Callithrix jacchus: one gene and its partners. The protein of the gene in region 1 purifies or fractionates together with the protein of each later gene. This does not show direct contact. Links are inferred from orthologs where the notes say so. Each region holds a gene or a part of one and is shown on either strand. Other genes may lie near its edges.

The links.
Region 2: the proteins of USP49 (region 1) and CETN2 purify together in Homo sapiens (affinity purification with mass spectrometry; 3 studies listed by BioGRID and IntAct, with this or other methods). This does not show direct contact. The link is inferred for Callithrix jacchus from reciprocal best matches to the Homo sapiens genes USP49 and CETN2.
Region 3: the proteins of USP49 (region 1) and CETN3 purify together in Homo sapiens (affinity purification with mass spectrometry; 4 studies listed by BioGRID and IntAct, with this or other methods). This does not show direct contact. The link is inferred for Callithrix jacchus from reciprocal best matches to the Homo sapiens genes USP49 and CETN3.

Annotation. Positions count from the first base shown.
Region 1 is NC_133505.1:50,397,174-50,401,407, reverse strand, and holds the start of USP49 (ubiquitin carboxyl-terminal hydrolase 49), read left to right. Parts: upstream 1-1,434; 5' UTR 1,435-1,672; intron 1,673-2,812; exon of another isoform or gene 2,813-2,865; intron 2,866-4,234. UniProt on the Homo sapiens protein: Deubiquitinase that plays a role in several cellular processes including transcriptional regulation, cell cycle progression or innate immunity.
Region 2 is NC_133524.1:148,960,081-148,964,270, reverse strand, and holds the start of CETN2 (centrin-2), read left to right. Parts: upstream 1-1,390; 5' UTR 1,391-1,437; coding exon 1,438-1,440; exon of another isoform or gene 1,441-1,576; intron 1,577-2,331; coding exon 2,332-2,490; intron 2,491-2,810; coding exon 2,811-2,939; intron 2,940-3,344; coding exon 3,345-3,482; intron 3,483-4,047; coding exon 4,048-4,137; 3' UTR 4,138-4,190. UniProt on the Homo sapiens protein: Plays a fundamental role in microtubule organizing center structure and function. Required for centriole duplication and correct spindle formation. Has a role in regulating cytokinesis and genome stability via cooperation with CALM1 and CCP110.
Region 3 is NC_133503.1:120,374,700-120,378,971, forward strand, and holds the start of CETN3 (centrin-3), read left to right. Parts: upstream 1-1,472; 5' UTR 1,473-1,568; coding exon 1,569-1,585; intron 1,586-3,417; coding exon 3,418-3,553; intron 3,554-4,272. UniProt on the Homo sapiens protein: Plays a fundamental role in microtubule-organizing center structure and function. As a component of the TREX-2 complex, involved in the export of mRNAs to the cytoplasm through the nuclear pores.

The DNA.
Region 1 (4,234 bases):
CTGATGTAATACATGCAGCACTGAGAAACTTTTCCTCCTGTATTGCTATTCTGGGAGCATCCCTTCCATTAGAAGTTTTAACTGTCTCCCAAATTCTTCACTCTGCAAAAGCACCTTGTTATGGAACATTGAATAAGTAACAATCCTTCTTCTCCAAGAATTTTTATTGGGGATTGCTGAGTAAGGGAATAAGACAGATAATTAGAGTTATAATGTAAGAATTCCTTAAAAAGAATTATGTTAACTCATAGACGACAAAGGGAGTGCTAAATTCTGAATCTAACTCGGAGGTCTTGAACCTCATGATAAATCAACTCCACTTTCTCTTCTTCTGTCAAACCTCTTTTAAATGTGCAAGTTATTAATAAATTGCCTTCACAGCGCTTGGCTCCAGGCATTGTAGTTTTCCCCCTTCCTATTGTGTGTGGTGGTGTTTTTTGTGCTTACCTAGTTCTCCTATTTACAGGTGTGTAAACTTGAGCCACTACTGTAGCTAATGTCCATTTCTTTCACTTGTTCTTATAATTAAATGTAAGTCTTCTTAGCTATGTGTTGGGTGTTGAAACTGTTGATCTTATTTTGGGTGACATCCATTTCCACCGCCCCCGCCCCGCCCCCGGAAACCATCCCGCAAGGGCTGTTGTTCTGTTTCCCAATGGTGTCCATCCCCATCCCTCTAGAAAGAAGTCCTTAGGACCACTACCAACTCAGTCTGGTTTACTTCCCAAGCCCCACAGTCTGCTGACCTTCAGTTCCAGCAGCGATCCTCTTCCTTGGGGGGGATTTCCATAAAACAGCTGAATCTCTCTTGGGTCATCTGTGGCAAAAGCCAGACACGTGCTCGCCCGCCTGGGAGCCAACAGTAACTTTTGCAAACGCTGCCTTCGGAAACCCCACAGTTTGCGGGCTGCTGCTTTAGGAACAACACAGAAATAACGTCTTTTAACAGAACAAAACATATGGACAGGATAGTGAGAAAGCCTTTGTCCTTCGCGGTGGGGAGAGGTATTTTAAAGGTGAACCCAAAAGAGTACGGGGAAACCCGTGTAAAATGCCTTTACAGTTCCCCAGGAAGAAGGGGGCGGAGATGGGTCTGGAGCGTCTCTGGCCCTTTAAGGAGGAGGGACCAGACATAGAGTCTGTACCTTTAAGAGTCTCTTTGTCTGGAAACCTTCTTATTTACCCTGTTGTGCTTCAACCAAACTTCGACCAGCCATTCACAACGCCTCCTTACGCCGCCGCCTCTTACGCCAGGCTCAAATCCGCCGCGCGTTCGTGGCTGACCCTAAACTTTGCGCCTGCGGCGCGAACCCTCGGACAGGGTGCCGGTGCCGGGGTCGCGGCCCAGCGCTGCGCCGTTGGCGCAATGCAGGGCCTGAGGGGCGGAGCTCCTGCGGGCGGGCCAATAGGCGGGCAGGGGGCGGGGCCGAGTTCGGTTGTCTCGCGCCCTGGTGACAGCTCGCGCGTGCTGATGATGGCGGTAAATAGAGGGGGCCGGGGGAGGGGACGGAGGAGGTAGGGAGGCAGCAAAGTGGGTAGCTCCAGGGGTAGGGGGACGGGGACCGGGGAGGCCGCGACGGTCAGGGAACCCATTCTAAGACTCGGAGGCGGGGACAGGAGTCTCCGGCTTACTAGCCCTCCCCTTTAAAGAAGCAAAATCCTCACACACCGGGTGAGGGGCGACAAAGGCAGCGCGCGCCTTGCGCCGGGAGGAGCGGCGGCAGGGGGCGGGACCGCGGCGCCGGGGGGCTGGGGGCGCCCGGGGCGGGGGCGGCAGGAGGAGAGAGCCGGGAGTCGGGGAGCGCCGGCGCTTTATTTTGGCGGGGTGGGCGACGACTGGGTTGGGGGAAAAGCCTTGAAGGGAGAGAGGAAGAAAGGCTTGGGGGCAATGGGGAGAACCGGGTTTAGAATGAGATGAGGAGGATTAAGGGGAGAAAGGGTTAGAAGCCTGGGAGAGCAGGAGTGAGAAAAAGCCAACCCAGAAGGTAGGAAGGAGGCAAAAGCCCGGGTGGGCGTTAAGGAAGCCGGGCAAGGAATGAGGTTAGGGCTGGGAAAAGGGATCCTGGGGTTAGGTGTAAGAGCGGGGGTTTGAAAGGGAAAGCTTTGTAGGGGGTGGTGTTGGGGTGCGGGATACCGGGGTAGGAGTTGGAAGTGGAAGACTAGGAGGGGCAGAGCTGGGGTAATAGTTGGGAGTAGGGAAGAGAGTGATTAAGAGCCAGACGTGACAAGGGTGTGAACTAGTGCGGAGCGAGATGAGCTGAAGGACTAGGACCAGCGGTGTGGTGGGAACTGCTGCTGAGGTTCTGCGAAAGGAATGGGTTAGTGGGTGGGCGATTGGTGTAAATTCTGTAAAGTGAGGGAGGGCAAATGAGACCTGGACTGGAACCAGGTGAAGTCAGGAATAAGAGTGGTGGAAGGGCGAAAGGAAACAGATAAGAGATGGGTGTCTGTAGAACAATTCTAGGACCAGAAGAGCTGAAAGGAGACTAGAGTTAGGGTGTAAGAAGTGATGGCTGTCTGGGACAAGGATAACTGGGGAAATACGTTAACTGAAGAGGTTCAGCAAGATCCAAGGTGAAAACAGTGAGGTGAAGAGACACGGCTAAAAGCAGACGGTGAGAGGAGCAGGAAGAGATGGGTCCCAGGATTTAAAGGATGTGATGGGGAGTAAGGGAAGAGAAGGGGGCTAAGGGAAGCTGAGAGAGTCCTGATGGATGTAGAATGGGGGTAGACTGCACAGGGGTGGGAATTGAATGTGAGTGTTGTAGGTAGTTGCTCCGGAAGGTCTGCAAGGGTCAGGGCACAAATGTTGTAGTGAAAGATCAAGTGTAAGAGAACCTTTGGTGCAGAAGAGGAGGAACCATGGTGAGTGAAAGGGGACCTAGAGACAGGGGTAAAGACTAAAAAAGTAAGGGCAGAGGTGGGGGGGGATTGTGCAGGAAGAATTCTTTGTTGAGAAGAGAACTGTATATTAAAACTGTGAATCCTTTTGTCCCTAAAAGTAGGAAATTCCAGAAAGCTCTTTCTCTCTTCAAGGAATCTTGAATCCGCTTCCACCTTTCATTGCTTTTGATTTGATTTTCCTGTCCACTTTGAAGAAATGAAACTCATTTTGATTTGATTTTTGTATAGATAATAAAGCATAAACTCTGGGTGTTGAAAACCTCTGCATTTCACTAGTGTTGTGATAATGGGGGGCAAGGGTGTGTTTGTTTAGAGTGTACCCGTGTGATGTGATAGTTTTGGTGTTGTAGGAGTATTGTACCTGACAAGTGCTGGGCTGTGTTTTATGGACAGCGTTTCATTTTCATTTTCAATGGAGAAAGCGCTGTTGTTGGAATAGAAAGATGAGAATCTGTTTGTTTTGATTAATCAACCAGGTTTCTGCTTATTGTTTTCAGTGGTGGGAGAATATCGAGAAATCATTTCAGAGAAAGGCAAATAAGCAACCAAGGAAGTTTGCTGAGGGAGAGATTTAAATCAGAGCTGAGGGCTTTGAGTTCCTGAGCTGCCTTTAGCTTTGTGTGGGATGTTTCATGCTGTAGTTGGTAACTCACCCATTTCACAAAATGGAATAAAGAAAGGGAGAATTGTAGAGTAGCGGAGGATTTTAGAGTGGCAGACTTATGTTTTAGGGTAAATAATGAATTTATGAATAATTTTGATGGCAAAACATCTCTATAATATTGCATGCTGAGTCTTTGGACAGCTCCACTGCCTTTCATGTTTTATGGTTATGAATAAAGAAGGCCAGATTAATATTAATTTTCTAAAGCCTTTTGATTTTTAAGACACCATTAGAAATGAAAAAGAAGATAAGAAATTTGGGGCAAAATTTTGGTTATTCTTAACTTAGAATTTTGTTTTAATGATTTTAATCAGAAGCATTTACATTTAGCTAAGAATATGAATGAATATTTGTTTTGCATTTGATGGTACCAAAAGATAGCATATAATTTAGGGAAAAATGCAAACTGTTGTTGAGAATCTTGATTGGGGTTATTTCATTGTGTGCACTCAGATGCACAAAGATACTTTTTTTTTTAAAGTTGTATAAATTTTGGATTGCCACTCTTTTGTTGGTGTTTGTGTATAAATAGTAAAGATTAGGCTTTTGATATTTGTAATAGTTAACAAAGATTAGATTTTGATTTGTGGATATGAGCAACAATGGTTATTAATTTGTATGAATAATTTAGAAAACTCTTTCTGCATTCAGCTACTGTGTTGGTGG
Region 2 (4,190 bases), on another chromosome or scaffold:
CAGGCAGAGGGAACAACTGGGACAAAAATGAGAGGCAGGAGTGTGGCTGGCACATGAGGTTCAACGACAAAGCCAGTATTGTGGGGCTGGAGTGAGCCTGAGGAGAGAAGAGTAATAGGCTTTGCAGAGGGCATGGTGAGAACTCTGGCTCGGACTACTTGGGAGGCTGATGATGAATCTGTTCACTGCTGAAGAAGGAAGAGGGCAAAGGGCAGAAGCTCCATTTAAAAGGTTCTAATAAGCCTCGGGCCTTTCTCTGCCTGAGAAACTTACTCTCTGCCCTCTGCCTCCCTAGATTACTGCCCCAATGCCTGGAGGAAAGACAGGTGAAGGCCGAAAGCCACGGGAATAGCGAAAGTGGGCAAATTGGACCTCCAGCTCCCTTTCTGCAGGTCTATCTCAGTCCACAGCCCTTGCACATGCTCCCTTTGAATTCTCCAAGCATACCAGTAACTTCCAAAACTCTTGGGACTTTGCTTATGAGGGCATCTCGGCCTGGAATGCTCCTCCTTATCTGTCTTGAGTGGGTGTCAAAAAGAGTATATTTTGATGACCTCTCCCGGCCCCTCATGCTCGCTCACATCCCCCTCACTCCTTTCAAAGTCCGTTCCCAAAGCCCCCAGTTCACCGTCCTGGGCTGCTTTTAGCCACGTGAGACCTAAAGTGATCCCCTCTTGGAACCTGATCTGGGGCCTATACTTCTGGGGCAGTCTGGGAGTGCTCTCGAAGGGCCACCCTCAAAGAGCGAACCTCGGCTGGATTCAGTTCCTAGGTACCAGCAGTCCGACCTCTGCAACGACGCTCAGCACACCCCTTCCCCTCTCTGGGTCTCAGCTGCCCCGTGAGTACAGCCCCTGCTCCAACACGCAAGGTCAGTAGCATCTGGGGGCTCTGATGCACTCGGTCCCTAACTCAGCCTGAGGTCAGCCCAGAAAGCACCCGACCCGGGAGGCCCCGCAGCTCTTCACTCTCCCGCCCTGCCCAGTCGCTGACACAAGGTGACTTCCAAGGGCAAGACCACGACTCTTACCCGTCTGTAGGCGCCCCCCTGGCTGGCCTCAGCTCGCAAGCAGGCTGCACCCACCGAACTCTAGCCTCAGACCGCCACCCTTTACTACCCTCCCGCGTGAGACGAGAATCAGCCGAGCTTCCTCCACCAAGAGGATTGGCCCAGCTCAGCGTTGGCTAAGCCAATTGGCGCTCGCGGCGTGATCTTGCCCAGTTATGACTGGCCTGTGTCGCCAGCGTGCCCCTCCCCGCGCTGGTCCAGGGCTTTGCCAGGTTAATTCCACCCACTTCGGCCCTGAACCAATGGAGAGCGGCGAGGGCCAGAAGACGGCCAATGGAGAGCGGGGCTGCGCGCAGGGGGCGGTGGGAACGGGGCCGAGTCAGTGTATACTGCGGTTGCCTAACAACCGGCAGCGGAGTCCTTTGGCTATGGTGAGTGCTGGCCGCTCCGTCGCGCCCCACGCCCAGAGGTTGAGCCCTTCCCAAGCCCCGGCTGTGCCACGCCGCCTCTCCTGCGCCTTTCTCGGCTTTGGCGTACAGTCCTTCCTTTGAGCTCTTTCCCGGAAGGGTAGGGTACAGGCGCTAACCAACCTACTGGGCCTGCGCTTCGCTACTGCCTCCCCTTCACCCACGACAGGCCCACACCCGCCCCTCAGGCTCCCCTGGCGTTCCCTGGTCCCCTCGGTGACCCTCCCTGGGCAAAAAAGACTCGAATCCCTCACAGACCCCTGACTCTCTCAGACCTTGGCCTCCTGGCCGCCTCATTCTGCCAAAGTTTCCCCACAGAACTGGGAGAAGGTGTATTGTTTTCTTTGAAAATGTTTTCTACAATATAAATATAGGGGCATTAAGGGGATGCTTTAGCTTCTTGGAGAAGGCACGAAGGTGCCAGATGGATTGAGTTTTATTATTAGATACTGACACGATATACATCTTAACTTCCTAATATTTGGGCAAATCTAGAAGTAATTGGGAAGTCAGAGTACTTACTAGGAAGCGGAGTACTGGCAGTGGGCATTTTAAGGCTGTTTCCAGAACCAGGTTCCCCACATTCGGGAAGAGCTGATTATCTCTAGTTGTTCACAGTCAGTTTCTTGACTAGCTCTCTTTTGGGATGATTTTCAATAAGAGATATCCTTACTGAACAAATGATCTCCCTGCATCTAGAAACAATAGTAAACCCTGTGATATTTCTTGTTAAGCAAAGCTTTGGAATTGGTTATAAATGACTTTAAAAATACATATAGGTGTCTGTAACTATGTTATGTAAATATGGACTGTATTATATATTATTGTGCTTATGTATTTGCATAACATATAAAGGCCTCCAGCTTTAAGAAGGCAAACATGGCGTCAAGTGCCCAGCGAAAAAGAATGAGTCCTAAGCCTGAGCTTACAGAAGAGCAGAAGCAGGAGATCCGGGAAGCGTTTGATCTTTTTGATGCAGATGGAACTGGCAGCATAGATGTTAAGGAACTTAAGGCAAGCTCTATGCATTCCTGCCGTTTGCCCTGCCTTTCCTCTCCCTCTTCCTTGTCATCTCTTTATCACCTCTCTACCCCTTTTGCCCTCTTCTCCCTGCAGTAAGTAACAGGGGAGGTTGTACTGTGCTCTGTTTTCCTGTCTTTACTTACCTTGAGTATTATCAGATGGATTGCAGATATCAATTAGATCTGTGTTAAAGTGTTCCCGAATCATATTAACATGATCACATCAGATACGGACTTAATGCTCTCAACACTGTTATTTTTGCTTCTTATAGTTTAGATGTGTATATTGAGACAATCCTGTTTTCATTGTAGGTGGCAATGAGGGCCCTGGGCTTTGAACCCAAGAAAGAAGAAATTAAGAAAATGATAAGTGAAATTGATAAGGAAGGGACAGGAAAAATGAACTTTGGTGACTTTTTAACTGTGATGACCCAGAAAATGGTAAGTAGTTAAGACAATTGGCATGGTACAGAGCCCCAGTCATCTGCAGAGGCCCATGGCATCTGCCTGTTAAAACAGTCATGTGAGCACACAGCAGTTCAGGCCTGCCCTCCCGTCATGTTACCTTGTGCTTCTCTCTCAAGACTTCCAAGCAGATACCTCATCCCACAGAATTCCAAACCAGTTAAGAAACAGATGTGGGATAGGGAGCAAATGTCACCTTGGATGGAGTGCCTGGCTTGCCTGGTGTTTCTCTGAGGCCAAAATGGGCTTCCTGACACTGGCTGCAAGTCTAGACTCGAGTTATTGTTAAAAAGGAGAGGGTGACTGGGCAGCGGCAGGGCTACAGGACACAAGTAACCGTGGTGTCTCCCTACTCATGTGTTTTATGTTCTACTTGTTAAGTCTGAGAAAGATACCAAAGAAGAAATCCTGAAAGCTTTCAAGCTCTTCGATGATGATGAAACTGGGAAGATTTCGTTCAAAAATCTGAAACGCGTGGCCAAGGAGTTGGGTGAGAACCTGACTGATGAGGAGCTGCAGGTTTGTAATGCCTCACACTGGAACTTCAGATTCCCACCTTTCAGCCTTCTGTGCCTTTTCTGTTACATTTTTCCTCGTGTGAGCATCTCTTTGAAGGAAAGCCAGTGGACTCTTGTCCCTTTAATAGTCAGACAAACCTATGAGCCCTGCTTCTAGAAAAATGCACAGGTGCACAATCTTACTTACTATTTTGGGTTCCAGGAATCCCTCTAGTCAAGGCAGTCTTCAAGCTCCCTCCCAGGTGATATGTTTCACAAAATATGACTTGGTTTTCAAATAACTATTCAGGAACCAGGCTATTATCAGGAGTAGCATACTGGCATTGGGTGGACTACGATGATCTTTTCACATAGCTTTATTAAAGTCTATTGCTTCCCAGGCACAGTGGCTCATGCCTATAATCCCAGTACTTTGGGAGGCTGAGTTAGGAGGATCACTTGAAGCCAGGAATTTGGCACTAGTGTGGGCAGCATAGAGACCCTGACTGTAAAAAAAGTCTATTCCTTAATCACCTTTTTGAATTAGTTTATAAATTAAGCTAACCTGAATATTTACTGTCATATAGGAAATGATTGATGAAGCTGATCGAGATGGAGATGGAGAGGTCAGTGAGCAAGAGTTCCTGCGCATCATGAAAAAGACCAGCCTTTATTGAGATCAGTGTCTTCTTTTCTACTGCAAGCACATGTAACTAGATTTAGTGCCTGC
Region 3 (4,272 bases), on another chromosome or scaffold:
ACATTGTTCTCAAACTTTATCTTTACTAATTTCCTCTTTCTAATTTCAATTATACAATTTTCTTCTTCATTTCTAACATCTTCAGATAAATGCTTGGTTTATTTTTATCCTTTCTTCTTTAAAATAATGTTCTCCTATAGCTTGGTCTGTATCTTAGAATGTTAACATATAGTTTTTTTCAATATCATTAGGTTCTAGTAACTGTAATTTCTCTTTCCTTTTAGAACTCAAAGGCGATTTATAAAAGTACCTTAAAATTTACAGTATGAACAAAATAAAAGTTCCACTTTGATTTTTAGGGGTGCTAAACCTTAACTAATTTTTAGCTTGTTCTATCATACTATCCTTACTTATGCAAATTTAGCTCATCTTTCTAGGTCTAATATTTATGCCACCTCCTTTAAGAAGCCTATCTTGTATTCTCTCTCTTCTCTAAACCATTATATACATCCCTTAAACATGTAATGTTTATACTATCCTCTGCCTTCAACTCCCATCCTCAGGCTATTTTATTCACGTTTATGAGATCTGCTGTTTAGCTAAGTATTTTGCGGGTTTTCAAAAGATTCCACTCAATTTACAGAGCACCTATGCACCATTTTACTAGGTACAAAGAAAAGCCTTAAACAGATAATAATCATGGCCTTCAAGAAATTGAACCTAGTAAGAGAGATGAATAAGAAGACATTCAAGTGAGCTTCAAGAGACTTGGTTTGGTAGTAAAGACAGTCTCATGTGTATAAACAGCTTACAGCACTGTAAAATAAGAGAGAGAAACGAATAAATCCGTTTTAAACAGTTCAAAGGAGGAAACCGAAAGGGAAGGGTGGTTTAGATACTGCCTCACCATAAATAGCCTAATAATCTAACCCTGTGATAATCCAAGTATAGTCACAGTACCTGCCTCAGAATCACCTGGAAGGCTTGTGAGGGGTAAAAACGAAGATTCATACCTACTGAAATTAGAATGGGGAAAGGGGCATTTAAATCTGCATTTTAAACACTTTCCCCAGGTACTGAGGTCATCCAAAGTTTTAGAACAGAGCAGAGCCAAGTTTCGCAGATCTTGTTCCTCAGCTACTCCCTCCTAGCCGGAGGGTGGCCTGCAGCGTGTCCCTTCCCTTCCCTCCGTCGGAGCTGTGTGTCCAGTTTCCGAACGTCGGCCCCACAGACCTCAGGGCTTCAAGCAAGACACGACTAGCACCCACCCACCGCGGGCACATCCAGCAGGGATCAGAGGCCGGACCCGCAAAGGATTCGGGGAAAAAGGCATCGAGCCAATCCGAAGGGCGAGAGCAGCCCGAGAAATGGGTGGGTGAAGGACAGAAACATTTTTCTCTGATTGACGTAAAACGTACCCAATGAAAACAGAGAATTGTGAAGCTTCCGCCCGAATAGGCAGAACCGTGGAGATTTTTCAACCAATCCAGCTCAAAAGTGTCTATGTTGTGGGAGGTCCCTTAGGCCGCTAAGGTCGTTCGTGTCTGTTGAACGGCTGTGAAAGTCTTGCTGTCTTGGGTAGGGGGTTAAAATCGTTCTTGAGAGGAACGTCTCTGTCCGAAGAGATAATGAGTTTAGCTCTGAGGTCGGTAATAAGGAGGCGGCAGTGTTCTCCACACCCCGGAGCGGGACGCAGGGAGGGTGTGGAAGGGAGGCCGTTTGGGGCCGAGGCGAAGTAGGGGATGCAGTTTCGGGACGCGGGAAAGGAGCCTAGGGTAGCTTACCCGGACCAGTCACCCTCTGGGCCCTGGTGCCTTGCAGGGATCGAGTCCAGTGCGTTTCTACTGAGGAAGTTATTTCTGTCAGCGCGTAGGGCTTTGGACTGCCAAAAAGATGGGCTTAGTTGCGAGCGCGGAGGGAATGAAATATCGCGAGGCTTTTACTCGTTTCTGTGAGATACCAGGCCGCGGAACATCCCTTCATTCAATTCGTGTAGCTGGCCAGGGCCCCGCCTCGGCTGCTTCGCTGCTAATGCAAATCACCCACCTATAAATTTTGGCAATAACACAAAACTCCTTCTTCCTCATTTCTCAGGGCGTTGCCTTATGGTGTAGTTGGAGACCCATTTTAGTGAATTTAATTGGCAAACTGTCACTTGGATTTCCTCAGCTTCTTGCATTTCTTTGCCTTTCAGTTCTAACCTCTAACCCTCTGTATGTTGCCCTCTCACCCTTTGTAGAAGTTGTACCGTAAAACTATATACTTAGGACAATAAAAATGTTCCATGTTCTGCTAAGGGATAATCGTACCCTTGAATGGGGTCAGGGGGTGGGTCGGTTCTGGACTTGGCCTCTAGAAGTCTCAGGAAGGAAAAGACTGACCCCAGGAATACCCAAATTTGTGTCAAGTCAGGTTTCATGAAAGGAAGCTTCATCAGCTTTGTCATACTGCACCTACTGGTCACTTCCTGGCCTTTTTTTTTTTTTTTTTCCTAGCTTTCAGAGACCAAAATGACTTTCAAATGCAGCTAGATACGTGTTTTAAATAGAGTCAACTGGTTTTTACATGATAATGTGTTATCGAATTATAGGTTTCAAACTTGTTCTTATACCAGTGTTGCATCCCCCTGTGAAAATTTGGAGCATGTTTAGATGGGCAACTCTTAAAGGAAAATATTTCTGGCTTTAAAAAAATTACTTTTTTTCTTTAAGGCTTTCCAGAGTTTGTTTATGAGAAGTTTAACCTCCAGTTTACATGTTAAGTGAGACAAGACTCTTCACATTTTTATATAGAATGAAGCACAAATATTGTATTTTTTTGGCATCTAATATTTGTCATGTTTAGACTCATTAATATTTTGAATGATTTGTTAATATTGATGGAGGAAATGACAAATTGCCAAACTGTTAGAAAGGTGTAATCTAAAAACATTTTTAACCAACAATGCTAAAATACTAAGTTAATTCGGTTGTATGTTTTTGTAGTACTTTTACGAACTTAATTATAAGAGCTATCAAAAGTAAACCGACATATAGTGACTGTCAACTATGAATTTTGGTTTCGTTTGGAGTTATTTTTCTTTAACAGTCTTAGAATAATGTGAGTATTTTGTTTTTTGGTTAGAGTTGGTTGGAGTTTCAGATATAAAAGCAATGTTACTTATTCACAGTTCTTGTTTTTTCCACAGTAACATTAGTGGGAATAAATAAAAAGCTGGGAAAAGGAAAAGTATGGTCCTCATTTATTTTACTAATCTTTAACAATCTTTAGTTTTGGGAAGTTCAGATTTATAGCAATTTAGATTATGGAGTAAACAGGGCATTGACTCATAAAGGGAAAGTTTCCCTATCTTTCTCCAAAGTACTTTCTTTTTTAAAATTTAGAAAATAATTATTGGCTAATTTCTGTTAGCAAAGAGAATTAAAGTAGACTTTAATTCTCCTTTAATTTAAGGATTTTTTTCTTTCCATTTCATAGAAGCGAGCTTGTAGTAGATAAAACAAAGAGGAAAAAAAGACGAGAATTGTCTGAGGAACAGAAACAAGAAATTAAAGATGCTTTTGAACTATTTGATACAGACAAAGATGAAGCAATAGATTACCATGAATTAAAGGTAATGGTATACTTTAAAATATTTGTTTTTATGTTAAAATGATTTGCATTTTGACAGTTGCTTTACATTGCATTTCTAAATAATTATTTTGACTAAACTGGTTTGGAACTATGAAGGCATTTTAAGCATTCCTAGTTAGTTGCTATAATAAAACTGAACAGAACCCCTAACAGTTTTTAGAAAGTCTTTTTCACATGATAAAATGAATAGTATTTTAAATGTAAAAATATATTCCTAGGGAAGGTGCTTATTTTTCACTGACATAATTAAAGGATTTCAAACTGGAATTTAAACTATTCTTACCATATTCTTTTCACTGTTTTGTTTTTGTTTTTGTTTTGTTTCTTGGTGACTCACTGTATTCAGATTGAGGGAGTGTTGTCTCTTAATCTTAAAAATTGGATTTGTTAGTAACATAGTCTCAATCCACTTTCTCTGGTGCAAATTTAAGTGCTGTTTGATGTTGACACATGCTGATGGGTAAAATGTCAACTTTAATACCTAAAATGTCAAGATGTGGGGAGAGATTTGTAAATTATATTTGTCGAGGTATAGGGAGAGATTTGGGTTTAGGGTAGAATGGGACTTTTAGCACAGTGGGAAAGATAGCATTTTCAGATTTTTAATAGCCTTAATGGATAGGTGAATATAAGTATGTGTTTTAATTTTTCTAATTTTGCAAGGGATTTTTAAGCATAAGAATTCCAAGTAGGGGGTAG